Linked DNA regions of Mytilus edulis. The protein of the gene in region 1 interacts with the protein of each later gene in a biochemical or structural test. Links are inferred from orthologs where the notes say so. Each region holds a gene or a part of one and is shown on either strand. Other genes may lie near its edges. The genes, in order: dynamin-1-like protein and mitochondrial fission 1 protein-like.

Region 1 (15,466 bases):
CTCATAGAAGAATTTTTTGCAAAGGATGCCGAGGTAATTCTCTGTGTTCAAAATATACATGAAATTTCATAACCCCAAGATTACGATATATATTTGATATAACAAATTATCAATTTTGATATAACAGATTATGAATTTGATATAACAAATTATGAATTTGATATAACAAATTATGAATTTGATATAACAGATTATGAATTTGATTTAACTTGACAAATTCACAATTTGATATAACAGATTTTCAATTCGATATACCAAATTATCAATTAGAAATAACAAATTGTCAATTTGATAAAACAAATTGTGAATTTCTCTACCAATAGTATGGTTTAATTATAATGAGATTGATTGAAACATTGCGTAACCCAAATTGGCACATTTTTGTGTATTGATTCATTGTTTATCTGACGTTCAGCGACAAATATGTCATTGAATGCTTATTCAAAACTTTCTTAACAGGTTTAATGTTTCTGAAACCCTCTCCTTCCCCTTTTATCTATTATTTGAGGCAATTTGGGGGACTAGTTTGAATGTTTTCTATTCATTACACGGGACCTGGTGTCTTAGAACGAACAATTAGAAATATACTCCAAATGCTGCAGTTGCAGGGGATGTAGGGTGGATACCTATCTTTCAAAAACAATGGCAATGCTTAATTCGACTATAGTGCCGTTTGAACAATATGAGTTCTGATCGTTTAAACAGAAAAATTTTAATATGGGCAGACATTATGAGTAAACCAGATGCTCCGCAGGGCGTAGCTTTATACGACCGCAGAGGTTGAACCCTGAACGGTTGGGGCAAGTATGGACACAACATTCAAGCTGGATTCAGCTCTAAATTTGGATTGTGATTAAATAGTTGACACAGCATAGGTTTCTGACACAGAATGAATGTGTTCTAATGAACTTAAAATTTTTGTTTTCTCTTAGAGCAATTCACTATGCTGTTGAATATTAATCCTCTCAAAAAAATGTTTGAAGAAATTTTCTTTTTTATTTATGAAATTTCAAATGAGAAAAATTGAACCCAATTTTTTTAATCACATCCCCCTTTCCCTTATTCCAAAACTAATCTCAATTAAAATTTCTAATGGAGTTTGCAACAATAACTACTCATTTAAATACATCATAAAATATTAAGATGTAAAAAAACTGCTTGTTATCACTGAATGGTAAAGATTATTTTAATTTATCAGTTGGTAGTAAAAAGTGAATATTCATTGTATATTGTATATAACAAAGATTTAAGTTGATTCTGGACAAAGAAAGATAACTCCAATTAAAAAAAAATCTTGCTATTGCACAATATTTTGCAATTAGATATTTCTTGCTTACTATTCTGGACAAAGAAAGATAACTCTAATTAAAAAAAAAATTGCTATTTCACAATATTGTGCAGTTAGATATTTCTTACCATTGCGCAATACTGTGCAATTGAAAAGACTTGCTATTGCACAATACTTAATATAATAATTTTAGATCATGATTTGGACCAACTTGAAAACTGGGCCCATAATAAAAAATCTAAGTACATTTTTTGATTCAGCATATCAAAGAACCCCAAGATTTCAATTTTTGTTAAAATCAGACTAAGTTTAATTTTGGACCCTTTGGACTTTAGTGTAGACCAATTTGAAAACAGGACCAAAAATGAAGAATCTACATACACAGTTAGATTTGGTATATCAAAGAACCCCATTTATTCAATTTTTGATGAAATCAAACAAAGTTTAATTTTGGACCCCGATTTGGACCAACTTGAAAACTGGGCCAATAATCAAGAATCTAAGTACATTTTTAGATTCAGCATATCAAAGAACCTAACTGATTCATTTTTTGTCAAAATCAAACTAAGTTTAATTTTGGACCCTTTGGACCTTAATGTAGACCAATTTGAAAACGGGACCAAAAGTTAAGAATCTACATACACAGTCATGACAGTTAGATTCGGCATATCAAAGAACCCCAATTATTCAATTTTGATGAAATCAAACAAAGTTTAATTTTGGACCCTTTGGGCCCCTTATTCTGTTGGGACAAAAACTCCCAAAATCAATACCAACCTTCCTTTTATGGTCATAAACCTTGTGTTTAAATTTCATTGATTTCTATTTACTTATACTAACGTTATGGTGCGAAAACCAAGAAAAATGCTTATTTGGGTCCCTTTTTGGCCCCTAATTCCTAAACTGTTGGGACCTAAACTCCCAAAATCAATACCAACCTTCCTTTTGTAGTCATTAACATTGTGTTTAAATTTCATTGATTTCTATTTACTTAAACTAAAGTTATTGTGCGAAAACCAAGAATAATGCTTATTTGGGCCCTTTTTTGGCCCCTAATTCCTAAACTGTTTCGAACCTCAACTCTAAAAATCAATCCCAACCGTTCTTTTGTGGTCATAAACCTTGTGTCAAAATTTCATAGATTTCTATTAACTTAAACTAAAGTTATAGTGCGAAAACCAAGAAAATGCTTATTTGGGCCCTTTTTGGCCCCTAATTCCTAAAATGTTGGGACCAAAACTCCCAAAATCAATACCAACCTTCCTTTTGTGGTCATAAACCTTGTGTTAAAATTTCATAGATTTCCATTCACTTTTACTAAAGTTAGAGTGCGAAAACTAAAAGTATTCGGACGACGACGACGACGCCAACGTGATAGCAATATACGACGAAAATTTTTTCAAATTTTGCGGTCGTATAAAAACATAAGTGTATAAAAAATTGGAATTTTTATGTAAGGAAAACGTTTTCTGAGTATAAAGCAGAACATTTGTGTATCATTACAGATTATGTTGATAGTACCTCAGTTGTCAATACTGTTATGTCTAAAATGTTTAGTAAATATGTCGAAAAGTGGCAAGGCAATTTACAATCAGAGAAAGCTTTATTTGGTAAAGGTGGTAACAAACTTCGTACATATAACAGGGATCTCCATGGCCTGTTTAACGATGGCGCCCCGCCATCATTCAAATGTCTTGCACCATCGTCAAATGACTTGAGCCATCGTTAAATTGTCTTGCGCCATCGTTAAATTGTCTTCCGCCATCGTTCTAAACTTCATCGTTTTTTGTAGCCCGACGCCATTTTTTGTTATCAATTATAATCAAATGCATGTAATTGCATAACCCTTAGGCTTTTTATGTTATAATCCAATACAGTTCTAACGCCTGAGGGATATCCGGATTAAGATCGCTAATCACTTGTACATGAGCTTGTATACAGGTAGATCAACAAACCAGACAGAATACTATCTGAGGATAGACGATCCATTTGTCGAATTATTTGTCCAATTAATCAACTAAGTTTCAGCAAATGATTATGATAATTTAGATTAAATAAATAAATTAATAATCCAGTTACAAAGAGAACAGTTTAACAAGTCAAACACGTGCTTTATTTTGACTTACGCAATCAGCATCTCCCTTTTCTTAAGAAGTACAAAATATTTAGAATTACTTTAAAAGTTTAAAAGTAAAAACTTAAATATTTCCTGTAAAGAAATATCGTATCGTAATTCTGAATTCATTTCGTATATTACAATCAAATTGATACATCTGCGTTTCCGGTTTCTATTCAGACTCGAAAGATGCATGTTGCACAGCATAAATTTGCCAGATAAAGTCATTAAAAACCTTTTCATTTGTCAACGTTTGCTTTACAAATCTCTTTAACCTTTTACATAACCCGTACGAATCGTTTTGTTGTTGCTGCAAATCAGCCATACCGGTAATGGGTTCTTAATTTGACAGTGTAAATGAAAAATAAGCTCCACATCATATGATTTTTAACCCCCATAACAATTACCAAAAATACAAGAAATCTACATGGGGACTTTCATGACAGCTTTTGGTCATTCTCAACTAAGGGGGGACCAAGAAGACTTGGCATTTGAATGGTTAAAAACGGCAATAAATGAAAATATTGATACTTCTAATTCTATAATGAAAATTCAAATAAATATAATTTAAATAAGCAATGAATTAGCATGTTCACCATTCCTTGTATGGAGGGATAAAATACTTCCGATCGCGCTACACTGTACAGCGTAGACACGGTTTGTAATGGTGAAAGTTCCTCCAGCGTTCAATTTTCATCCATGGAGATCCCTGATATTTCAAAAAAAAATTAAATATTTCTAATTTTATCTACATGTATGAAAAACGATTCAAATTTAATTATGAAAATACAAATGTTCTTGAATAAAACTTAAATTTGAAGGAGTGAAAAAGAAATAGCTATTTAAAACTGCCCTGTATATTTTCAGGTCCGTCCTGGTCTTTAGTGTTACCATTATCAGTTTTCGAGTTAACAGTAGTTTTAAAAGCTTCTAAATACACACAGAGGTGCATAGGGTTGTTTTTTAAAAGTAAATATGGGTAAAATATCATTCCACAACATGAATATTGCACTGAAACGTTTTATTTGAGTATATTGGGGTATATTGGGGTAAAAAGTCATTTTGTGATCGTAAGCGGCTGACAAGAACGGAACAAGTTTCAATGCAAAAAGTGATTTAAAATTAATTATATTCATAAATTAAAGTATTATTGGTGTTAAAATAACATGAAAATGCATAAAATAATGTTATTATTCAATACTGTTATGTTAAAACTGTTTTTGAGGTATATTGGGGTATATTGGGGTATGTTGGGGTGAAAAGTCGCACCCCAATTGGTGCCAATAGGAATACTATAGTCGATGAAGATACGTTTTCCAATGTAGCTGTCAAGAGCAGAGTTAAAACGCCTCTTTAATGGTTAACACAGGTATAGCAGTGTTTTCCTTTTTTCACTAAGGTAAGGTGGGTGTTTTAAAAAATAACTTGCAACCGAGTGTTTTTTTTAAATGTCCAACCTTTTTTTTATTTACTGTGGGTGCACGTGGGGGTCACAAAAATAGAGTAGTATAATATTCACATTTAATGGAGTTAAACAAACATAAATAGAAGTACTAGTCATATTAATTGTCAAATATTCTTTGATTTATTTTTTTTTCAAAAATTTATCTCTTATATCTCTACTTTCATTTACAATTTTATGCATCAATATGGATTGAAGGCCTTTCAATCCAGGTTTCTGTCCTGTTTCTTGCTTTTGTGCCGTATTTTTGGCACACAGAACAGTAGTATCCTTCCTCTGTGACTATAAGTCATTTGAAGTCTTGCTCATATTTGTCTTCACTTGCGTGTCTTTTCCGTTATTTGGTTGATTTTTGTTCAATTTCAAACAACTCCAACATTACTATCAATTTTATTTAACTTATTTAGTCTAGTATTTTCTTTATCATCATCGTCATCTGCCTTTCTTTTTCCCCGATTGATAAATGAAAACATTGAAATTTGACGTTTGGACGCCATCTTTGTCAATAAAAACAAGGCAGGATTAGTATTCAAATTTTAACGGTACGGAACCGAAAAATACCCGGATTTTGAAAAAAAAAGCCGACCACCTCCTAAAATCGAAAGGTGGTCGGCTTTCAAAAGGTCGGCTTAAATGCCGAATGGAAAACACTGTATAGCATTATGGCAATATAAAAACAATCCTTAATGTATAAGTTTAAATGTACTGTTAACTATCATTGTCATAGAAATTACATCAGATAAATAAAAAAACACTTTTTTAAGATTTTTAAGGGCATGCACGGTGAATCCGGGTCCGTCCGCCCTGATTCTGGTTCGCCCTAATACCTGTTTGCCCTGAGTCCGTTCGCCCTGATTTTATTTTTAAGTATAGTGTTGCGTTGTGTGTATATAATTGAATGTGTTGAAGTCGGTCTACAATTTCGCCGAATATTTACGATGTATCATGTTGAATTGTCTAAAGCTAGCTGCTTTACATGCTGTAAGGTTATAAGTTTCAGTACATTTTTGGACTCTAAGTTTTTGAGGACTAAGTTTGTATTTGTATGTAATTACGTTACTAGGAAATATAAGTTTCTGTAAATTGTGTATTTTTAAATGTGTGAAACAACTGAAGACTAAGTTGTTGTCTTGCTTCTACGAGGATAAGTTTCTGACTTATACCTGACATAAAACAACTAAAGACTAACATGACTAAGTTATTTATATATTAAACTTTATTGATACATATCAAAAGTTTCAAATGACACCTACTCAGCAATCAAAATTCAATCAACAGTAATATTAAAAGTAATTATAAAATAAAGTGTAACAATGCAGCCAAGACTTTTATTTAATTAATATAAATTTGGCAAATATTCTGTATTTAACTTTTAATAGATATACATAAATTTAAATAAATTTTAATATATATATATATATTTCGTTCATTGATGTAACATATACATATCATAAATGAATATAGGGCGAACGAACCCAGGGCGAACGGACTATCAGGGCGAACAAACTCAGTGCGAACGAACCTAGGGCGAACATGTAATCAGGGCGAACGATCCCGATACCATGCACGGTCCACCTGATTGCCTATCACAACAATTTGTGGAAGCTGAATTGTCTCTGAACCAACAGTGTTAAAAACATCTTGCAGTTTGTTGATAACAGGGATCAGCCCTTCCATTGCTGAAAGGTTTATTTTCTATTTGATGTTTACATAGAAATTACATCAGAGATAAATACAAATTATTTTTAAGGACATGCACCTGATTGCCTATCACAGCAATTTGTGGAAGCTGAATTGTCTCTGAACCAACAGTGTTAAAAACATCTTGCAGTTTGTTGATAACAGGGATCAGCCCTTCCATCGCTGAAAGGTTTACTTTCTATTTGATGTTTACATAGAAATTACATCAGAGATAAATACAAATTATTTTAAGGACATGCACCTGATTGCCTATCACAACAATTTGTGGAAGCTGAATTGTCTCTGAACCAACAGTGTTAAAAACATCTTGCAGTTTGTTGATAACAGGGATCAGCCCTTCCATCGCTGAAAGGTTTACTTTCTATTTGAATGTCAATCAGCAGTCAGGGACATTTGACTTGTTTCGCTTTGGGCATAAACTCCAAAATTATCTCCGGCACTTTTTCACTTCCGGGTTATAAGGTGAATAAAAGAATGATTTAAATTACCCCGAAACATTTTATATACACATTCAGTGACATTAGATTATTAACATTTATTACTAATGAAAATTTCTAATTTCAACAATATTTATATTCTGACTGTTTTATATATCTTTCACCGAAAAGATTCTGATTTTTTATTTTAATCTAAAATCTTTCTCAAGACAGCAAAAGGGATGACGTATTACACATTGACAGATTTGGCTTACTAATTTTTGTTGTAGTATATTCTCATTATGTCAGAATCTGAAGGCAGTGCTAGTGGAATGTCTGTAAGTTTTATAATATGAGACAGGTGTAACTTTTAAAATAGTACAAAGTCCGTATCAGTAGTTTTTTTTACATGAATTTACAAGTTTTATATGATCTTTAGAAAAAAACTATCAGGTTTTTTAAAACTGCAAGTAAACCTATAGCTATAAATTATAGCTTGATATGGCTGTGATACTGACTAGTTAATTCGTCTATCCTTCAAATCCGACTACTTAACATTGAGAATGATATGGATTTTCATAATTTCTTGATATAACCCTACAAGCTCAATTATGTTTTGAGTGATTATCTCCCCTTTGCATTTTTAAAATTATTTTTTTATGAGGGGAAAAGGAGGAGGGGGGCATGATCTTTTTTGGGACGTCATGATGGGGTGTTTTTATGCTAGGGATTTTCGGATTGACCGTTATCGGGATCCAGGATTTGTTTTTGAGAATTTCGTAATGTCAAGATTTTTTTTCTTCTGCAGGATTTCATGTTTTTAAGCCTGGGATTTTGGGATTAGGGCCCTCCAAACCTCCCTCTTTTATGGGTTTTCATGCTTTTAAGGCGTTACCATTTCCAATAAAAACATGCATTTTACACATTCATATGAGGTTGCAAAAAATTATCTAGCCATACATTTTTATGTTATTATTAATAAGAAGTTCAGTCTAAATCTTTGCAGACAAAATTAGGAGGCACTGTTTCAACCATTCAATTAAGAAGGTAATGATGTGAACAACAGGATTTTTAAACCTCTTATTTCTAAACTCTATGTGCATCTTTACCAATGTCCAAAAACACAAAAAACAAAATGGTAAAATTTGTCATTTAAAGGGAAACTTCGCAAAAAAATCAAAAATTGATATTATGTCCATTCTATATATAGAAATGCTCAAATTTATAGATATTAAAGTTTTATTCCGCTAGATAAGAGATCACCATCGATTTTAAATTTAGAGTATCAACTCTCTGCGTTCCGCCATTTTGTCGTCTTCCCCGATTAAAAATCACGATATGTCTATAAACCACAAAGGACCAAAACTACACTAACCGATGTAGTCGTAATTGCGTGTCGATATCTTGTCAATCGTACGGTTGTTTTATCTGACAAACTAACTTGATACAGAAAATGTTCTTATTTTTTTTTAAATAACCATAGTCTGTTATTTTTAAACTGTTAATATTGGAATTAGTTAAAAAGTCAAAGTTTAAATCATAAATAAGTTTTCCGTGAAAACTGTTTTCGTAAATCTTATTCGTTTATAATTCTTTAAAGTAATAAATTTTATTCAAATAAATTCGGATATTCCCTCATCTGATCACCAGCATGACTAAAGGTATTACTCCCAAAGGTATTGTGAGGGGTGTGAGGTGACACGTCCAGGTATTCAAACGATTTCCTGTCGGGCTTGCAAGTTCATGCATCGTTTCACTTCTGTAGGTATTGATCAGTGTACACGGCCGATAACTTATAACTCTCCATTTTGAACTATCAGGTGTATAATATACATCTCTGTCTTGCGTGTCCGAAAGTGATATAATATACTATAGCCATTACTAAACTCATACGCTTGTTTATAAATAACATTACTGGTGTAAAGAATATTATTTATAAAAATACAAATAATACCAAAAAAAAAAGATTTGATAAAATAAAAATCTATTTACATTTTTTTTCCAAGGTTTAATTTGGGAAAATGTAATATATACTCGTTGTCAATAGTAAAGGACAGATTGGAACATACCAGAAATATTGATTTAATAAAAATGTACGCACTTGTCGACGATTCATTTCTACGCCTGGATAGAAAGTTACGGAGCTATATCGCAATTTAAAATTATTACATGTATACATTGAACATAAGAAAGAAACATACATTTTGTGTAAATTGGGGTAACAGTTTTGTAAATAGACTATTCCACGTATGCCAACAGTATGTAATCATCGAATTCGATAGACCATTGTATACCAAAAGAAGAAGAAGAAGAAGAAGAGGACCAATTTGATTTAAATACAGGTCGATATAATAACTTGCTTCGGTTCATCGAAGTTATGAACATAGTAAAATCACAAATTTATATATCAATTAGATCGTTCTCCAATGAAAGGAAGAAATTCGACATCATCACAATTGTTCCGACATTCATGTAAAACATATGCAACTGGACGTACACTAATAAACCCCAAGGGATGTGAGTATTTTCTAGGAAAACTTTTGAGTATTAAAGTTTCAAATTGATTTCGGGATTTATTTTCTTTCTTCAAATTCAATGACATCAATTTAAAGAATAAACTGCTTGTCCGCTTTAGGGGTATTCTTGCCAGTTGAACAGACTTATAATTACATTCAAAAATAGGGAACTTAAGATGACATTAAATTCGTTGTCTTTTTTTTTAAACATTGTTGGTCAAATAGCTAAAGTATTATTCGTTGTGAGAAGAAGACTATTTTAATAAGGACGCTCCCGATTATGAATAAATTTGGTTGACGTTTTTCACACTTGAAAAGAATTTCTATTCGTAATTTGTCGATTCCATTCCAAGAGGAAACTTAAATTTCCTGTCAATTTTTTAAAACATCTTTTTTTTTCAAATAGCTGAAGTATTCATGCATGGGTTGTGAGATTTAAAATATTTTGATGAGAATATTAATTCCTAAATAGGTAAATAAAGATCGCTTTGGATGGACTAAATCATATAATTGCAATCTGTTTGAAATATTAAAGGTTGGCGATTTTAATTTTAAAAAGTACAATTTTTAGTTCATACACTCGTGTTTAGAAGGCTATTTTTATTTATAATTTTATTCAATTAAAATAATTCAGTATTTTATCGTTACAAAACTAATCAGAAGTCATAATTCATTTAAAAGTGAGCTTATGCAAAATATATATATAAAAATATACAACAGCTATCCAGTTATTGTGCGACCTTATTTCTCCCGTAAATTCATTTTAATTCTTTTTCTTACATTTCTGTGTCTATAACTATAACTGACTCCCGTATATCATTCATACGAAATGTTGTTCACACCTGAAATGCTGAACCGTGACGCCTAGGTGTCACTGAATGAAGATCAAAAGATTAGAATTACATAATGCTAATCTTTTAATTACCTTGAGTTTAACTACGCATTCAACATTCACTAAGTGTAACAAATTAATACACATTTAATTTCCACAGTACAAGCAAGTGAAAATGTTTTCTGGAATGAAGCAAAAAGTTCAGAATACAAACATGTATTTTTTAATACACTATCGATCGTGTCAGTTTTATATGTTTGTTTAAAGTATTTGAAGAAAAAAAATCATAAAAATGTTCTATTGTATTATTTACTTTAATTACTAGAATTCGTATAAAAAATCCAAACATGAATCCTACAATCTAATTTAAAAAGTTGCATGGCTGTCACTTACTTTTCGTTGGTTAATAGCTACACCAAAAGTCGTCGATGCGCTTTAAATAGCGTTATTAGATGGTTAACGAACAAGACTTAAATGAGATTAATTTCACTCCCGGCATGCTCAAAGACTTAAACTACGTCACATAAGTCAGGAAGTTTGATAAAATAAAATTATTAATTCCAAATTTTCTCCCTTATTACTTTTCATATCGAAATAAAACTTGGGGAATATGTTTTTTATGGTATTATGAACATAATAAGATGAAAAGTGAAAAATCGCGAATTATCCCTTTAAGAGCAATATATTTTTAAATAGCTATGCCTGGGAACGCAGTAAGTGTCCTTTTGAATTTCTTTGTCCATGAATATAGTCCATTAGTCTGTACTGTGGCCGACAGTGAATTATAGTTGCAATTTTTTCATACCCTTTAAAAAAATTTTTTTTAATGTTTTAGGCCTCAAATAGCAAGAAGGATGAAATTCCATTGCAAAAAATTGTGGGTCATGAATTTTAAAATAAAGTATTGATTTGAAAAAGGTTAAAAATTAATATGTCTGAAGCTGTCAAAAGAATTCAAGACCCCCTTAATTAAAATTGTCTATATTTGAGTTAGAGCAGATGAAGTTTTCAATAATTTTGATACAATTTGTAGTACATCACACACTGTAAAAATATTATTGAGAAAGCGCAGGTGGGATTAAAAAAAAATCATTTATTGTCTTAAAGAAATGCACTTCAAAATTAAAAACCAATTGTTCAGAGAACAATTGAAGGTCTTTCCACCAATAAGGATCTATTTTGATATGAAAATATTAAAATTCAGTTGAAAATGTCAGTTCCTATGGCTTAATGATGTATAAATATGAATTTTGAGCAAAGGTCAAAATCTAGAACGTCAAATTTACTGATGACCTTGACCTATATTTCAAGGTCATAAACCAGGGACCCCAAATAAAAAGACCCTAGGTCTGTAATATGTATAGTTAATGAGTTATATCACTTTACGTTTAATTCTTAATATAGGAGGGGCAAAAACTCCCATTTTATGTCTACACACCCTTTTAACAAAAATATATAAGTTACGATATGTCGCAACTAACAATTTAGTAAAAATAATTTGTCGGTATCTTATAAGGTTAATGAAAATTAGTGAAAATAGGCCAAAATCAAAATTTAGAATATGACCTTGACCTTTGACCTTTACCTAATTTTCATTTTTTTGGACCAATGATCTCAAAACAAAAGACCCTAGGTCTCTATCACTTATGGTTTTCCAGTTTAAAATACATTTCAAAATTTCAAATACAAAATGGGAACTAACTCTCATATGGAGTCTCTATACGGCTTCGGTCAAAATAAAACAGAACATCCTGAGGATGTAACGAGCAATTTGGCAAAATAAATTTGTCGTAATCTTTTATGGTTGCGAAGGAGTAGTGGCCACAAGAAAAACAGTGTTTGGGGAGATAACTCTTACAACGTAAAGTATTTGGTTACGCAGTGGTTAGTTTTAAAAGTGCATACGCTTTACGATATCATATTCCAAATATCTAAGCGACATCTTTTGAAACATCAATACTACGCAAGAAAAGAATTAGGCGGAAGAATAAAAAAAAAAATAATAATAATAATCAGAAGAAATCCAATAGGTCTTTCCACGGAAAGGTGGAAAGACCTAATAACTGTGTTTTCAGGCTTAGTAGATAAGGACTCAATTGAAGGTTTTGGTTATTAAACTTTTATGTAGATCTTAGCTTGCCAATTAATTTTACTATATGTAAAGTTTCTATCTATCTCTTATAAATTATAAAAATGGGTAAAAATCTTAATTCAAGAGCAATTAATCATGTTAACTCCAATAAGGAGTTATAAAATCATTGTTTGTAAATCTTGTCTGGCAGATCACATTTGCTATTTCATGTGTCTTATCTAGATCTATTACAGTTATCAAGATAAAAGGTAAAATCACAAAGTTGAAAAAAGAAATCTCATTCAAGTGCAATGACTCTTAAAATGTGTCAATTCAAAATTTAGCCAAGCTGAATTATTTGTAAATGTACAAAATGTAGTCTTGCTGATCAATCTTGCTTTAGAAAGTTTGTGATACAGTAACATGTATAGATTTTAAATTTTAAGCAAAATCTTTTAACAAATGTCATTAAAGAGTCAACTGACAAAAATGACTGATGATATCAACCATACTGACTTATTTGTGGATATTATAGAAACATTATTGTCTTGCTTATCCTTTTTACTGTTTAAGTTTCCCTCTAGCTAGAATGATTATCAAGATGATATGCAATCATGAATGGGCCAGGTGAGCTCTGTCGATGTAAAAATGAATTGTCCTATAAGTTCATTATAAAAATTGAAATATTGTTGTTCCTGTAAAGTTTAAAATAGCTTTGCATTCCAAGTATTAATACAGAAACAGAAAATGTCAAAGGGAGATAATTCTTATATATTTAATACGATCTTATAATAATGTTTTAAAATGACAGTGCTTCGTAAGCCTATAAGGCTGGCTGAAAATAACAATGTTCATATCATATGTATTATATAATGGCAATTCAGGTTGCACTTTAATAAATTATTTATTCATATATATAGCCCAATCTTGTGAATTGTCAGTCAGAGACATCATCATTGATCATAGAAAACAGTATTTTTTTTTGAAATAATCAATATTTGATTTTAGTTTTCTCAGTTTATGTTTTAATTTTTTTCCCTCAATAAGCCAATTAATGAATTGTTTTAAGATGTGGACTGACAATTCAGCTCTTATTTTCCATGTGCATAGCTATTTACAGGTAAATAATGGACAAAGTCTCTAAATAATAAAACACTTGAGATATTAAATTTCAGACACATTATCAAGTTCAATTAATTGCATCATTTTTGGAAGTACATTATTTAATACAAGATCTATCAAATACATGTTGTAAACTGATTCCCAGTGTTCTAGTCAAACTACTTCCAATCAACCAATCCAATGCTCTATCTAGGATTTAAGGGATTTTACAGCATTAAGATGAAGGGAAGGTTAGCATGAGTTCCTGTCTATTCAAATAAAACCTCTCATCAAAGCTATAGATTAGTTCTATAATCAGAAAAAAACTATTAAGTTGGACATTTTTCTTTTGGTTATAAAAGGAGACTTGTAAAAATATTACTTACTAATTCTTTTTGTCAAGATATTGCCTTCATTTCTTATCAGATCTTCTTCAGATTTGTATGAAGAATTACACTTATTAAATCTTGGATGTACAAAATGATCAGAAAAATCTTAAATGAGGGTCCATATGTTTTGGGTGGTGGACTTTGTAAACTATATATTGCTGGTATGATGCCTTCTCTTTATATAGATGATTTTAAAATTTGTTAAAAGGTATCCACTCATACAAGATTAAAGAGTTTGTTAATCAGGAAAGTCTGAAATACAATGTAGAGACTCATTTTAGGGGAAGGGGACTAATGGTTTGTCACTATGTAAGCTAGCCTAGAACACTGACCCTACCAGACATCTATATAAAAGAGAACTGATTCATAGTAGAAATACTATCCAACCTCTTTTTTTTTTTAAACTTTAATCATGTTGAATAAATGTGAAGTAATTGGCATTTATCATTATAAACATTCTGTTGTTAACTAACCATGTTATCTTAGCCATGTATGCATTCTAAGGTTCACTGAAAGTGGGGTCAGATTGAGCCTGCTCTACAGCTGAATAAAAAACAACCTTTAAAATCTTAAACATACATCAAGTTTTATGTGAAAGAAATATAATATCAAACAGGTTGATGTACTATTATTTTATAAAAGTACAAATGTGGAAATTGAAAACTATAAAACTTGAAAATTTAAACTGATGTGAAGTTCTTATAAAAGTTTTCTGGTACTGAATAATAAATTCATGTGGCCTAATTGAAAGGAATGTATCTGTATCAAAGAAATTAAAACTAGTGTTTGGTATGGACATACTAAATATTAAAGGTAAGAATGTTTGTGGTCTACCAAACATGTGCTCCAGTTAAGAAACATGTCAACCGAATGACACCTATTTGTCATTTTATTTCAGAATAGCAGGTGTAACAATAATTTATCTTATCAGTACATGTATTTTATGTATCAACTTTATGTAATGAAATAGTTCTTTGTGTCTTAAAAAAAAATAGGCGACAATTTTATTTTTATAGATATGTGTATTGTGCAGTTAGGAATACTATTGTAATGCTTCTTTCAATCAAAATTCAAGTATTTTTATAGCTCAACATAAAACAGAATAGAAAACAAAAGATTATTAAATATAAGTGGTTAAATATCTTTTCAAATTTTAATTGATGATCATAATTTTTTTTACCATTTGAAAAGATAAATCATTCATTTTAATTTTCTAATGTAAAAAAAAGAGACCAATAATTTGCAGCCATTTGCAATCAAAGATTAATTTAGACCAGCTTCATATGAATAAAACATATCAAACCAATGGGACTGATAAATATACAATCAAGGAAACTGGAAAGGCATATTTTAAAAAACCAGTCTCAACAATATGAACCGCCATTAAAGCTGGGAGTATTTCAGATGTTCTGTGAGAGTAAGGCCGTGTTCACACCAAACGCCATGTACATAAATGTACAGTAAACATGTTTACAATTAGTTTAATGTAATGTACACTGGTTTCACATTATATAATATTTGTTCACATCTATACACCTTGTTTAATCACCTGAACATAAGATTTGTTCACACTT
Region 2 (16,488 bases), on another chromosome or scaffold:
TCACAAGTCTATATAATAACCGTAGTTAATTGAACAGTCTATACATCCACTAATTTCTCCAGGGCAGAAAGTTCTCCAGGGCAGAAAAGTTCATTCACTGTCATCATGTGTACTGCGTATTTCCAACGGATAGAGCTTCACAATCGGACGGTTGGTAATTCCTGTGTCGGTCTTGATAACAGCTGATCGAATGAGTCCATCCTTTCCACGAACTAAATCTTGTACAACTGCTAATTTCCACATTATTCGATTTGTGTCATTGTGTACTTGTACAATGTCACCTATTTGTATTGTTTGTTCGTTTCTTCCAGATGTACGGTGGAATTCAGAGTGACGTCAGATATTCGTGTTTCCATCTTGAGCGAAAATGGTTGATTAGTTCATTATTTCTCTGTAGATTTTTATTCAGTTTCACGTGCAAGTCTTCTGAAGTAACACTGTCAATATTCTGTTCCGATTGGTTGTCAAGTCGACGACCATATAACAGGTGCGCTGGCGTCAGCGGTTCGGGATCTTTAATATCAGTAGAAATGTGATTTATAGGACGATTATTTAGAGTTCCCTCGATTTCGATTACAATTGTATTCAACATTTCCGTAGTGACACATGACTTTCCTAGTATTACTTTAATTGACTTTTTCGTGAGTCCAATTAGGCTTTCCCAAAAGCCTCCAAACCACAGTGCTCGGTTGGGTATAAATTTCCACTCAGTTCCTTGATCGGCAAGTTTTTCTTGTATTCGGTTGTCTTTGCTTGATCTTGTAATCTTTTCGGCGGCTGCCTTGAAGGTTGTTGCATTATCGGACAACATAATCCTTGGTGTAGATCTTCTAGCGACAAATCTTTTAAAAGCAAGCATGAAAGACTCCTCGGTTAAATCTGTGACTATCTCCAAGTGTATAGCTCGTGTAGCGGCGCAAGTGAATAAACAAATATATGTTTTGCTTAATTCGTTGTGTTTTCCTTTTGTATACAAAGCTCCTGTGAAATCAACGCCGGTTACTGAAAAAGGATAATCGTAGTTGACTCGATCTTTAGGAAGCGGTGGCGGATCGGGTGCGCTGTAAGGCATTCCTGATATTTTAATGCATTGAACGCATTTACGAATTTGTGATTTTACGCACTGTCTTATTCTCGGTATCCAATATTTCTGTTGAATATATGCGATTGTACTGTTAAGTCCGGCATGAAAAGTCTTTGTGTGTGCATCCATTACGATAAAGGACATAAGACTGTGGTGTGTTGGCAATAACAACGGATATTTAGTACTCTCCTTAACAGGTGCGTTTTGTATTCTCCCGGTACAACGTAGTAATCCGCTTTTGTCTGTATAAAGTTTAAGTTGTCGAACAAGTTGCACTTTTTTCTGTGAAGATGAATTCAAGCTTTCAATTTCATCCTTAAATGTTTGCTGTTGTGCTGTTACTATTAGAACTTCTAATGCTTTACATCGCTCCTCAACACTGATAAATCCGATTGTTCGTTCTCTTGAGTTCCGTAAATTCTGTATAAAGCGCAAGACGTATGCTGTTACTCTAATTGCTTTTTCTAAAGATCTGTATCGTTGTATATCTATACATGAAATTGTCTGTGTTGAAGCATTTGTACTTTCATCTTCTGTATTTTCATCACTAACAGTTACCATCGTGCTGCAATCTTCAATTTTCCTTGTCCATGTCGGCCAATTTTTACGATTTAAAATCCATTGTGGACCGTTCATCCATAAGCTGTTGTTATAAAGTTGTTAAGCGTAAATTCCGCGAGTTAAGTAATCAGCTGGATTGTCATCTGTTGGACAATAATTCCATTCAGCATTCTCTGTTAATTTTCGTATTTCTTTAAGTCGATTTTCTACGAACGGTTTTAATATTTTTGACGATTTAATCCAACTCAAAACAATCTGACTATCGCTCCACATATACACATGTTCTGTTGTTATGACTTTAAGAAGATGCGTTGCTAATCTGGCGCCGATAAGCGCGCCCATAAGTTCTAAACGTGGTAATGAAATCGGTTTAACGGGTACTACTCTGTTTTTAGCCATGACAAGGATCGATGAATTTGCTGTAACTAAGTAAGCACAAGCTCCGTATGCTAACTGACTGGCGTCTGTGAAAATATGTAGTGACGTTTTCTCGTTAAATACTCCTTCCGTTAACATTCGTGGAAATACTATTTTGGTAGCCTCCTTGATATCTAAAGCTATTACCTGCCATTTACTTCTCAGTTTGTCGGACAAACATTCATCCCAATCCAACTTTGCCTTCCATAATTAGTCTGCATAAACAGCTTAGCTTTCGCCGTAATTGGCGTGATTAATCCAAGGGGGTTGAAAATTCTAGACGATGTGCGCAAAACCTCACGTTTTGTTATCATTTTGTCCTTTTCCATAAATTCAATCTGTTGAAATTTCAAATCATCGGATTCCCTATCCCATCTCATGCCTAAAATTTTGACTATGTCGTCATTGTCGCCGATCTTGTCTAGTCCTGCGACGTTCTGTAATTCCGTACTATTAGAATTCCAAGACCGTAAGTTGAATCCTGCTTCTGACAATAATTTTCTTGACTCCGTGTAGAATTTCAAAAGTGATTGTTCATCTGTAAAACTGGTCAGAACGTTATCCACGTATAAGTTTCTCTGTAATTCAGTTGATGTAGTTGACGGATTGTCTCTAAAATGTTTCATTAGTGTGGCGCTTAACATGAATGGCGAACAGGTGGCGCCGAAAAGTACAACTTTAAACCGGTAAGTAATCAAACGGCTTTCTGTGTCCATGTGATTTTCTAACCAATAAAATCTTGTGACATCTCTGTCATCAACATCTAATTCAATATGCAAAAATGCTTTTTCAATATCTGCTGTAACTGCATATTTGTACATTCTAAAGCGTACTAATATCTCCGTCAAATCAGTCATAATTGGTGGATATGTTGCTAGGCAATCGTTAAGACAAGGGCTATTGTCGTTCGCTCTACAGCTACAGTTATATACTATGCGTATCGGGGTGGTGACTGAATCCTTTTTTACGGGATGATGCGGAATGTAATGAACCTTGTTTGTGCATGTAATTTCATCACATACCTTTTCAATGAATCCTCTTTGTTCTTGGTCTGTAATTATCTCACCATACTTTTGGAACATCTCCGGATCCTTCTTCAGTCGACGAATAACGCTTTCCGTTCTGCGTTTTGCGATGTCTTTATTTGTCGGTAGTTCTGGCGCATTCTCTCTCCATGGTAATTTCGCAATATACTTATCATTTTTCTTCGTAATAGAGGTTTGTAAGTAATTTTCAATTGATTCAGCTAGGTCTGGATCATTTTGTTCTTTAACGTCAATTCCCAACGATTCAAGCTTCCAAAATTGTTCAAGATCGCACTCTTCTTGTTTGTGACAAACTAGTATATTCATCATTGAGAAAGATGCATTGCTGGTTCGTGTAGGGACAGGACCGGAAAGTAAATATCCAATTTTCGAGCTAACTGCGGTTGGACCGTTTCTACGCACTATTTTGTCTTGAACTATGTCCCAGTAGAAATCACCTCCAATTAATAAGGATATTTCAAATTGCTCTCCATCCATGACTGGGTGTGCTAATTGTAGACCACGTAAATAAGAAAACTTCTGCGTTATTCCTATGTTGTGAGTTTGAAGTGGTGAAGCAATGGTTGGTACAATTAAAACTTTAATAGGGATTAATTCTCCTTCGGTAGAGTTAAGATTAATTGTTGTTTTGTCAAGATTTCTCACCTTTTTTGTAGTACTTCCAAATGTAGCTATACTTAATGTTTCAGAACCTTCTTTTTTAATGTCCAATTTAGCTGCTAGTTCTTCCGTTATAAATGAGCGCTGAGCTCCCTCGTCAAAGAGTATTCTATGTGTAAATACATCTATACAGTGTACATGTATTTTTGTGAACGACTGGACTGAATGCGGTTTTCAGTAAAACAGTGGACCTTTCTTCGCTAGCGGTATACAACATAGAAGTTTCTGTGTCTACTTTATTTTGCGATTGTTCAGTTTCAATATGATGTTTATTTCAGTACGAGTTCTGTTTACATAATGAAGAGTGATGCTTCCGGTGGCAACACTTACACATATTCTTGGATTTGCAATCGGCTATTTTATGCTTACCTAAACAATTAAAGCATAATCTCTTTCCTTTATAATGGCTACTCTTTTATCGTGATCTATGATATCTTTACATTCGTTAGGCCAGTGGTTTCCGTCACAATATGTGCATTGTTTCTTCCGATTCGAGTTGAATGATTTGTCTGTTGTGTTTATCGGACGGGTTTTATCTGTAGTTACTCGTTTAACGCCTGTTATGAAATTTGCGCTAGGAGTGGCGGTTGAATACGTCTGCGTATAATCTCCGTATCCGGACTCTTGAATAGAAATCTCTTTACCTATCGCGTTTCTAAGCGATTGAATATTCCAACTGTCGCTCCCGTTTTCTCGTGTTATATTTTTTCATACTTCATGCGGTATCTTCCCGAGAATTACTGGTATCAATAGCGATCCGTACATTTCCTGACATTGTCCAAGAGACTCTAGACCCTGTATGTAAGCTTCTGATTTGTCATGAAATGTTCTCAAACTTTCTAATGTATCATGTGGTGCGGGTATATCAAGTAGTGCTCTCATATATGCATTTATGATTTTATGTGGTTGCCCATAGCGGTTTCTCAATAATTCAATTGCTTTGTGGTAGTTTGGATTTGTCATGGTCAATCCTGAAATTACGTTTGCAGCTTCAAATTGAAGCAATGAGTTCAAGTACGAAAATTTCTGAATGTCAGTTAATGTGTGATTGTGATGAATCGTGGTCTCGTATGAATCCCAGAAATATTGCCATTGTAGAATGTCTCCATTAAAATTGGGAAGAGATAGCTTTGGTAGGCGATGGTTATTACTTGAGGTCGAACTTGACTGAGATAATGGCTGACTTGTGTGAGTGAAGGGGTTTGTGTACAGAACAAACTCTGGTGCGTTTGAATCTAGTATAGAAGATGTTGCGTTTGTTACGGGCTTTAAGAACTTCTTAAATTTTCGAATTTTACCCTCTAAATCTAAATAATACTCATCTGTTTCAAGAATTTCATTTGTAATATCTTCTGATTCGACTGCATTTAATATCTGTTCATCTATTGAGGCTTACGTCTTCTTTTTCTTCTCAATTGCTTCGAGCAATGTTGATACTTCCTCCGTGTCTATTTGTGAATCTCCGATGGCTTCCTCCAGTTTTTTGAAAACTTTTGTTACTGCTGCTTTGTTCCCCGCTCTCAAGGATTTTAATCGGCTGATGTCCATTCTCTCCGTTTGAAGTCACGGCACCAATGTAGAATATTGCGTTGTGTATTTTATCGTAAGTTATCTAAGGCGTTAAAGATAGAACTACGTCTGCCATTATACGTTTCTATTCAATACAACATAAAGTATAACAATAACGCGACGTCACAAAGATAGCTGCCGTACCGCAAAAAGGTACGTTAATATTAGCGCAATTCTTAACACCTGGTCATCCTAGACAACACAGATGTTGGTTCTGATAAGTTTAGAAACATAATTAGTCCCTGAATCATTAGTATTCTATATTTGAAGCTACAATAAGATTAAATCACTTCTTCTAGTGATTAATTTGTGCTACTTAAATAGGTGATTATTAAAGAGAGACAACTCTAACTTCCAACCTTTATGAACATAATGTTACTTGAATCAGTGATTCAGAAAATCACTCTTCTAAATCACTCATTAAGTAAGTCCCCTGACTGGTCACTGACCACTGTGTGTTTTTCTCTCTGGCTCCTTCTTTCTTTGACAACACTATAATTTAGGTTTTTTGTATGTTTATTTTCCCTTCATATATTCTATCCATATTGCATGATTTGGTCAAATGTATGAAGAGACACTAGACATTTATTCGTACCTTTAAGTCATTTTCGTCGCAAATTTCGTTCACAATCCGATCCATTTCTAGAAATCAATGTCAATTAAACGCTTTCCCACATTTCATATCAATAAGTTGTCCTAAAACATTAGCAAGATTGCGCTTACGTGGAAACATAAAATTAGACCACTTTCCGAGATGGAACGAATATAAAGCAGTCATGGAAAATACACATTTCATCCAAAATAATGTCTTTCTTAGAATAAGATAAGAACAAATGATGTTACCAAGTCTCTAAAATTGACATATAAGGCAACGATTTATGTTAAAGATTACAAATTTGTCTTTACAGTTTAAAAACATAACTTTACCTTCAGACTAGTTTCCGGATTTCCACATCAAAACAATATTTTGATTCAAAATTAGTAATATAGTAAAATGTCACTTACAAGATGTCTTTGCTGTTTAAGAATGCTAAATGGCAATTCAGGACATATACCCTTGAAGGAAATTCCAACAGTACAACTTGACACAAATCACATGGGTAAATCACTAAATTTTTTGAAAATAATTTAGTTTTTGTTTTGTTTGTATCACAGGAAATTCTATCAACAATGATAAGATATATAGTGCTCACTTCAGGCACTACTTCAGGGTTCTGATCCTAAACTTGCTTATTGTTTTGTCAGAATCATGTGTCTCACTTATCATGCCTATCATAATTTGCAATACTACTACTAGCACTTGTGATATATATTATTTTACATTTACGCCGAACATTGTTTCTGTTTCTGTCACACATTAGAAAAATGGGTGAATCCTGCAACAGACTTTGATCCTAATAAGAACCACCATATAGGTATCTTAAAGATCTTTTTGTAAATTAATTATATAAAAAAAATATAGAAATATATTAGTTTAACAAGCTATAAACAATCTTAAGGAAGGATACATTCATGTCAATTGTCACCTTAAAATTGTTTTATGTGTTTAAAGAAACTACCTATAAAAATTTGATTCAGAAAACGAAAGCTGTTTTTAAATTTATTATAATACAAAATTCAAAGTGGGTCTCATTGGGGTCTATTAGCGTGATGCGAAATTGCTGATTTTTTGTAAGCGTGACATGTGAAAGTCAAATTATTGTGGCGTGAAAACGGGAAATGAGGTCTTGCGGTACCCTGGAAATGATAAAAAAATGAGAATTGCTTACATATATAGTGTAAGCGGGATACGGGAATATGACAAAACAGTAAGCAGGATCCGTGATCAGAACCCCCCAATGAAACCCCTTCAAAGTTACATTAATACTTTTGATAATTTTCTGTTATTTTAGTAAATTTATGCTTAGTTGATAATTATTTTTTTATGCTTAAATGTAAAAATGTACATGTGTTTAACATTTCAGGTAATGATGTTGTGATTGTGAAAAGTGGTAAAAGAATATGTGGAACAGGTGCAGCATTGTCAAATGCTCCTATAGCACAAGATAAAGCTTACTTTGAAGTAAAGCTACAGAGTACAGGTAATTCATAGATTGATTTTGAAACCAAGTATTAATATAATTTTTTACATCCAGAAAACTATCCAGAATTTAACTTATTTTTAAAAAAGAACAAAGGAGTAGGGGCAATATAAGGCCTAGTTTTGGCCCAAGAAAATGAAATGTTTGATAACTATTTCAAATTGGCACATAATGTTTAAAAATGCTTAGGGTCAAGAAATATAAATGAAAAACATTAAGATTTGTATCTGATGACCTCACAATTAAGTCATAATATGAACTGTTTTTACAAAAACCATGAAAAATACAGAAATTATGCAGTTTTCTGACTTTATTTCTGTTGTGGAGACATCCTGCGCAGCCGAGAAACAACAAAATAATTTAACAAAAGCTTTATTATAACTATTGGCATTATCTCATCAAATATAAAGTTGTTTCTTGGGTGCGCACATACTTTTTCAGTCTAAAATATACTTAAAAATTTGATGAAAAAACAAGGAAAATCACGAAATTTAACAAAATATGCAAATTAGGTTATGATTTGTTGCCATGGTAACTTGTTGATGTCATTTTTTTTTGTGTTTTTGTTTGTACCTTATACCTTAGATAAATTTTCAGTAATTTAACAATATGTATGATTACTTTAAAATTTTCAGTAATTTTTGGGCCAAATAAGGGCCTTATTGCCCCTACTCTTTTTCAATGAAGACTATTAAAGTAATTGCTATATATTTGATTTCTTAATTAAGCCAAAAAATTGAGCCCAACTTTTTGATACATATTATTTCATGTAAGAAAAATAATTTGCATTTGAGTGGTCATTCTTAGGAGTATAAGTGATAAATATATCTTCTTGCTTACACAATGATAAGGCAACACTTTGATTTGTTATTATAACATTCTAACAAAGTGGTTCAGATCAGTAATTTACTGGTTATGTCCCTTTGATAACACTTCACTTTTGTAAGAACTTTTATACAGTTTTATTTTTTAAGAACCATGTGATGTTTTTTATAAGTGTTAATAATTAGTAATTTCAGTTGTTTTTATTCTGAAATGGTTTGATTTTTGGGGATATCTATTTATCTGTAAATGTTAGTGTTCATGGATTTCGTGAGTAGAAGGGAACCTTGAATTTAAATGTTCAACAAATTCCGTTTATTCTATAGTAGGAATGTCATTAATGTATACAGAAACTGACGAATTAACAAAACCAAATAACAAATAAAATGCAAGATTTTCTCAATCCAAGAAAATAAATCTGTCCACAGAACTCCATTTGAAGATAATATATATATCATTTGCATGTGTGAAAGAAATAAAATACAATATATATGTACCACTAAAAGTCTTGATGATTCAGTTAACACAGGTTTTTTAAAGGGCAACAAAAACAGGTAAAATGATATTGTTTCTAGTGTAACGGAGGGGGTCGGTGACGACACCTCCCGGGACGTGTAGTGGCCAGTACTTCGCCCCTATTCGACCATCGGGATACCTGATATCAGATTATGGCTGAACAACAAACAATTAATCAAATGAAAACTATATTTTATTCACAAATGTACAATAATTGCATGAATTTAAACAAAGTCGGATAAAACAGGAGTCAGAAAACTTTCTTAAATGAAGTTCAAAAATAAAGTAATTTCAAATGTAAAATGAAAACTAGAGTGTTCCCAGAGTTAGTCTTTTAAGTAAAATAAAGTAAAATTGCTTTGCGTTGTGTTTAAAAGTAGTAAAATTGCACCAAAAAGGGGTGACTAACTCTGGCGAACTGCACCGAAGTGGTGGCTAACTCTAGACTCGATTAGTACTAATATTAGTTCCGGCGAGTATTTGGAGGCCTGTGCAAGGCCGACTCCGACTGAATATCAAATGATATCCTAAACTTTTCATTAAACAGGCTAACTTTAACATAAAAGGTACTGAAGAAAAGTTAAATAAATGAATATTCTTAAAACATTATAAAAACATCAAAAGTTAAATACTAAAACAGTTAAATTAACATTCTTTACTTTTATCCTACTATATTTAAATCAAATTTAACTAAAAATAAACATTTAAATACTAAATAATTAATCTGTCCAAATTAAGGGGAATTAACCTAGGCATATCAAGGCACATCTATTACAATCCTCCCCCCTTAGGACAAATATTAAAGAAATTAATATTTGGGAAAAGATTTATTTAAAATAGATGTGTTCAAAATAATTAACAAAAATATAAATCAATGCACAAAAAATGTCAATAAATGTCACAAAAATGTCAAATAATCACACGGTCCAACCATAGGAAAAGTTCACACAGTATAAACATCCAGGAATAGTCGGTAAACACAAATTATAAAGTACGGTCCATAGAATATAAATGTAAACGGACACAGTTATACAGCATTCAATAAAACACAGTTCTAGATTCAAACGGAAACGGAATGGTAATACGGATAATCTGCATGGTCCAAGTTGTACCAGGTATAGTCCACCAATTGTTGTTCTCACGAAAACACTTTAAACGTGTGTTTTCGGGTTCTAAAAAGTCTATCGTTGTACCAGGTTTAGTCCACCATTGTAGATCTCACGGAATCACGTATAACATGTGATTCCGGGTTCAAGATGATCAAAGTTCAAACGTTGTACAAAGAGTAAGAAAGGTGCTCTTGATAACAAGAACTGCTTACTTTATCAGGTGGTTGTCTTCACACTTAAACTTTCTGCCACTCAATAGATTTCTGCCATGACTTATAAAAGTCACAAAAGGAAAACCATAACCAAACTAAACAAATTTAAAACAATAAAACTTGTTCAGAAAGGTTAAAAATCCAAAAAAATGAGCAAACTCATAAATAAACCTATTCAAACAAGAAACTTAGCTACAAACTAAACAAACCAACATCTAAAGAAAAACACAATCAAATCAAACAACGTTTTGAGGGTGTTTTGATGGCAAAACCGGCTCATTAACGTGACCAAGAAAAACAACAAATCCAATGAAAACTTTGAAACCATACCTACTAAACAATAATATAAAGTGACAAAATAAGTAAAATACTAAATATACAAATTAAAACTAAAAAAACATACTATATGAAAACTTTAACTGGCTTATCCTTCAAACAAGAAAACTCATCCGTGCTAGAAATCAAATAATCAGATAAACAGCTTTGCAAATCAAATGAAAATAAATTTTGAACTTTGTTGACAACTTTGCATGATTTTTTTACTTTCTTATGAACTGCAGTAGAAACTGGTTTTTCTGGTTCAACAACATGAACAGAATTGACACTTTTACAAACTTTATTGGGACAATTAGCTCTGATATGTCCAACTACCAAACAATTAAAACATTTTTTTACTTTAAACTTCTTATAAACCAGCTTTTTAAGAACTTTGACAATTTGATCAAAACCAGACTTCAAACAACTAAAATCACAGTTTTCTTCACTTTCCTTAATTTCACATTCAACAGGTTCAACTGTCAAATTAAAACATTCAAACTCTGTAGCCAAAAATATAGCATCATCAAAAGTTTCAGGATGCTTAAAATGGACAAACTTTGCCATTTCCTTCTCTAACTTTCCAATAAAAAGATCCATAAAATAAATTTGCATACTTTGAAAATTATCTGGATATGCACGATGACATAAAAGTTTGAATCTATGTCCAAAATCAAACACAGATTCATCTGGCAAAATTGTACAATTATTCAGTTGAAATTTATAAAAAGCTATCCTTTCCTTAGGATTAAAGCGTTGCAAAAGTAAACTTTTCAAAAAATCATAGCTTAGCAACTGAGTTGGAGTAAGAAGACGTAAAATAGTTCGTGCTTCTTCTCTTAAGTTTATTACTAACTGAAGAGCCATTTCAGATAAATTCCAGTTATTCCAAAGACAAACTGCTTCAAATTGAATAAAATAATCTTGTACATCGGCACTAACACCGTCAAAAGTACAAGGTTTCTGTTCAAACTTCATCATTTTGAAAATCAAAAATTGAACAAAATCAAAAATAAATGTAATAAAAATATTCAAACCAAAACTGAGGGATCAGGTATCCTGGTCACGGCACCATTTGTAACGGAGGGGGTCGGTGACGACACCTCCCGGGACGTGTAGTGGCCAGTACTTCGCCCCTATTCGACCATCGGAATACCTGATATCAGATTATGGCTGAACAACAAACAATTAATCAAATGAAAACTATATTTTATTCACAAATGTACAATAATTGCATGAATTTAAACAAAGTCGGATAAAACAGGAGTCAGAAAACTTTCTTAAATGAAGTTCAAAAATAAAGTAATTTCAAATGTAAAATGAAAACTAGAGTGTTCCCAGAGTTAGTCTTTTAAGTAAAATAAAGTAAAATTGCTTTGCGTTGTGTTTAAAAGTAGTAAAATTGCACCAAAAAGGGGTGACTAACTCTGGCGAACTGCACCGAAGTGGTGGCTAACTCTAGACTCGATTAGTACTAATATTAGTTCCGGCGAGTATTTGGAGGCCTGTGCAAGGCCGACTCCGACTGAATATCAAATGATATCCTAAACTTTTCATTAAACAGGCTAACTTTAACATAAAAGGTACTGAAGAAAAGTTAAATAAATGAATATTCTTAAAACATTATAAAAACATCAAAAGTTAAATACTAAAACAGTTAAATTAACATTCTTTACTTTTATCCTACTATATTTAAATCAAATTTAACTTAAAATAAACATTTAAATACTAAATAATTAATTTGTCCAAATTAAGGGGAATTAACCTAGGCATATCAAGGCACATCTATTACACTAGACTTAAAAAAATTTCCATAACAGAAAGTAATATTTTGAAAACAAAATTATTTTTCTCTGCAAAAGTAACATTCAGTAGTCATAATGGCAGCCATATTATTCATGTTAATTAATGTCGCCCATTATTGTGTGTAGAAGATAGCAATTATTGACTATCTAAGGTCCTACTCTCCAACTGTCAAAATCTTTGTTTGATAATTATATTATAATTTTACATATTGGTGACTTTCGACCCTTAACTGCTCTATGGTTGGGTTGTTGTCTCTTTGACACCTTCCCCATTTCCATTCTCAATTTTATTTACTGTTGTGTTTATTATTCCTTTCTTGAGTTATGAGTTTTCAACCTCCACAAAACAAGAAGACAAATGCCATCTTTTAAACATTTTGCAAATTGAGTTCGTGATTTATACTTGACTCAGTTTTTCACATAATGTCCACTGGCAATTTGTTCATGCATACTTAAGTGAGAATAAATTGAACAATAAAAGAAGTTTCCCCAGAGTGGGTTTATAGTCTGTACACTAAATCTGTTGGATGTACTTTAGTCAGAGAGAAACTGATTTCTTTTTTTGTTGTTATTGGCTTTGAACTAGCTTTCAGTTACTGTGAGAACTCTTTATAGATTGGTACTTTGCGTCTTTAAAGTTTTTGTTAGATTCTTTTTTGTCTTTCATATCAACAAGAAAGCCATTTCATACTGTTTTTACTAGTTTGATCTTATGTTGAGCTGGTTACACAACTGTCTCAGGATAGAGAAGAGTTTTTTAGCCCTCTTAAATGGACTGTTATCTGCTTTATGGTCAAGTTGCTATCTCTTTGATACATTTCCCATTTTTATTCTCAATTCTATTAATCACAGCACATTAAATTAAGTTGCTTATATCTGCACCATTTGGACTCAGGTGATAGTTGTCTCATCTGCAATTATACCACATCCCTGTATTTTTAAATAAATTTCACTTCTTTTTAGTTTGAACATGATATATAATACTTCCATGATACAAGGGATTTATAACTACGATGCAGTAAAATTATTGGTTTATACAGGTTACTGAAATAGATAGTTTAACATATGATCATCAGGCAAATTTGCATTCATATCACATTTATGTATTTTTGTATGAATTTAATTTCTTTTTACTTTGAAAAACACCAAACAAGCTTTGCAACTTTGGATTTGTAAAATAAATGCAGTAAAACAACTATAGTTTGAGAAATTAAAAAACAGATTGAACTAAAATGAAAAATCTTCAACTTATTTGAAACACATTTCACTTGATTACATCTTGTTAAATATACATGATATATATTGAAGTAAATAAATCTATCTAAACAAATCATTTTCTGAGATTTTATTGAACATGAACAACAAACAAAAATCATCAAAAAACACAATTTATAATACAAAACAACTTTTTTTTAATTTAAAACAAATCTTTTCCTCCAAGAGTCATCTCAGTTTTTTTCATTTATTGCACTTGATTAGACAAGAAGAATTCACAAGGAAAAGGAAAAACACAATCAATTCATTATGAGAAGCTTTCTGTGGATTCTTTGTTTGTCATGCTTATACATGTCCATTATGTGTGGATTGATTAAATTGTATTGGCATGTACCAGTATATTTGATTTTTTTAAAAGTCTGCATACAAGACTATAGATAATTTGTATTTCTGGCTCAAGCAGTCATTATATATATAAATATTTATCTAACCTCTTATAGACATGATTGTTTAATGGGCTACACATGGTGACTATGCATATTTGATATAGGGTTTCCTAAAAAATACATGGTTAGTTACCAAATAGTCTGTTTCCCGGCCGTTATTGAAATTCTTGTTAATATTTGTATATTCCGAAGGCATACTTGTTTTTTACAGAGGGGACCAAGCTAGTAACATATAGGGTGACCAACCATATAGGGTTAGTAAGGAGTTACTTCCCTTTAAAAAAAACCAAAAAAAACAAACTATAAAAACAACATGGTGTTGAGGAATAATCTGAAAGGATTCAACAGACAAAGAAATTAATGGTGAAAGGTTGAAATTAGGCCATAAAACAAAATTAAAGTTAACAAGTTGTTACTGTTGGCATTCCAGAGTTACTTCCCTTTCAAATCATAAAAAGAAATCTGAAAAGATTCAACAGACGAAGATTTTGATACTTGTAATGAACGATTGAGATAAATTCATAAAACAAATTTAAAGCTATAAAGTTGTTATTGTTGTCATTTATTTTCTGTATAGACAAAAGGAAGTAGGATTGTAATACAAAGTATCAATTGAAGACTTCATCACTTTGATAGGCCACTAGTCAAAATACCACATGTGAAGATGGTTCGTAAGATAAATTTGTTACGCAGTGTGCTAGTGACCTAATACGATATATATTGGGTCAGAAAATACCATATGGGGATTCCAGCTTTGTTCTCACTCAATATGGAATTTACTGACCCCACATATATCGTATTTATAGGTCCCTAACACACCATGTAAAAAATAATATAACTATAAAGAGAAAGGCTATTTCTCATTGTATTGATACATTGTATGCATTAAGAAATTATGGTTGCAAATTATTCTTAAATTAGAGAGTTTAGCAAGCAAAGTTTTATCACCAGTCTGTCATCTTTGCAACAGGCAATATATAATTGATTGTTTTGGTCAATGTGTAGACAGCGTGGGTTATTTATACCTTCTTCTAAACCAAACTCGGTAAGAAACTCTCCTTCCAATGAAATGACATGAATACTGTCATCATCAAATGACCAATTCAGCACCAGAATTAAACCATTTGAAGTTGTTTCAATGTGAGAAGGTGCAAAGAAAAAAGATTCCACTCCAAAATATACCCATTTAAACTGTCCCGTGCGATCAAGGGCAACAACCTTTCCTTCCTGACTCTCGATATCCCCACTTATTATGAGTATATCTCCATTGATATTTGTAGTAAGTTTCCATGGAATATCATCCTCATCATAATAAGGTTCTTCATCTATTTTAATTTCTCTTTTTACTCCTGGTTCTTTCAAAGTTACAATAACATTTCCTTGCAAATCTAAAATCAAGACACATAATACCAGTTTTTTGGGGCTTTCATATCCTATATCTGTGCTTTCATATTCGATGTCTGGGCTTTCATATCCTGAGTCTGGGCTTTCATATCCCACAAATATATTGTGGCTGGTAGCATGAATGCCTCTTAAATTAACTTGAGGCTCTATTGTGGTAATTTTTTCTATTTGTCCATTTGCCTTAACACACATAATGTCTGAGCGTTCTGCTGATGATGGAGATCTTTCAGAAATGGTAAACAAAATATCACCATTATCACATACAGTCATATCTTCAATAGGCAAATTTTCTAATATTTTCGTATCAATATGGACAACATCAGAATCTCTAAAGTTCATGTATCTTAATGTACAATCCTCTTTTATAATAATTGTTCCATCTGGTAGAGATTTCATAAGAGATGTATCATAAAGGTCAAGGTCATCATGGTCATAAGTCTGCAATATTTGTAAAGTTGGAATTTTGATTAAGGATCCAAACTTAATACTGCTCTGCGGCTCAAGTGGATATGTAAATGCTAATTTATTATCAGAAATTTCCTTTTCCTTCTTATTCAAAGGGCTCACATCAATCTTGTCAATAGTATTCAAAACAGATATTGCTAAGCGGGATTGAACAGCTTCACATATTTTTACCTTTCTTTGTTTAATCACATCAATTTTAGATGTAATCTTATCTCTTTGATCTAAAAGTTCTCTTTCTTTGAATGCATAATTTTCATCAAGTTCTCTTATTAATGTTTTGGCATCATTGCTGACCATTTTTTTCAGTTTCTTTTCCCTTTCTTTAATTCTGAGTTTGATTTCATTGTAATTCTCCAAATTAGCTGGCAGGATTTTTTCAGATATATTTTTTCTATTGTCATTTAAAAACTTAACGTCCTCGTCTGTGGTGGCCATTACTTGAAAAAGTTTTGAAATCTGATCTTCGTAGGCCTTTTCAATTTTGACAACTTCATGAGAGGCGTGGAGAGGAGCACAGAGCTGACAGCCTGATATTAAACACATTTTACAGTAAATTAAACAATTTTCCTTATGTTTTGAACACAGGACATTTCTTGGATCTAGTCTGTGAATCATCTCAGCTGCTTCTTTAATGTCTGTTATAAAATGCTCCTTTGAGGTATCACTTTTAGTGTGAATACTGTCTTTACATTTATCACATAAACTCAGTTCACAGTTGAAACATTTCCATTTGATTACATCAGAATTTTCACAAGACTGAC

What was found.
Region 2: the proteins of dynamin-1-like protein (region 1) and mitochondrial fission 1 protein-like form a complex in vitro, tested with the Homo sapiens proteins (2 studies listed by BioGRID). The link is inferred for Mytilus edulis from reciprocal best matches to the Homo sapiens genes DNM1L and FIS1.

The regions. Positions count from the first base shown.
Region 1 is NC_092344.1:87,705,629-87,721,094, forward strand, and holds the start of dynamin-1-like protein, read right to left. Parts: upstream 7,032-15,466; 5' UTR 6,911-7,031; coding exon 6,809-6,910; intron 6,593-6,808; exon of another isoform or gene 6,544-6,592; coding exon of another isoform or gene 6,442-6,543; intron 1-6,441. Other genes in the region: CXXC-type zinc finger protein 1-like, read left to right, coding at 7,286-7,321. UniProt on the Homo sapiens protein: Functions in mitochondrial and peroxisomal division.
Region 2 is NC_092346.1:45,787,472-45,803,959, forward strand, and holds the start of mitochondrial fission 1 protein-like, read right to left. Parts: upstream 6,051-16,488; 5' UTR 5,978-6,050; coding exon 5,933-5,977; intron 1-5,932. Other genes in the region: SPRY domain-containing protein 7-like, read left to right, coding at 6,332-6,437, 7,302-7,418. UniProt on the Homo sapiens protein: Involved in the fragmentation of the mitochondrial network and its perinuclear clustering. Plays a minor role in the recruitment and association of the fission mediator dynamin-related protein 1 (DNM1L) to the mitochondrial surface and mitochondrial fission.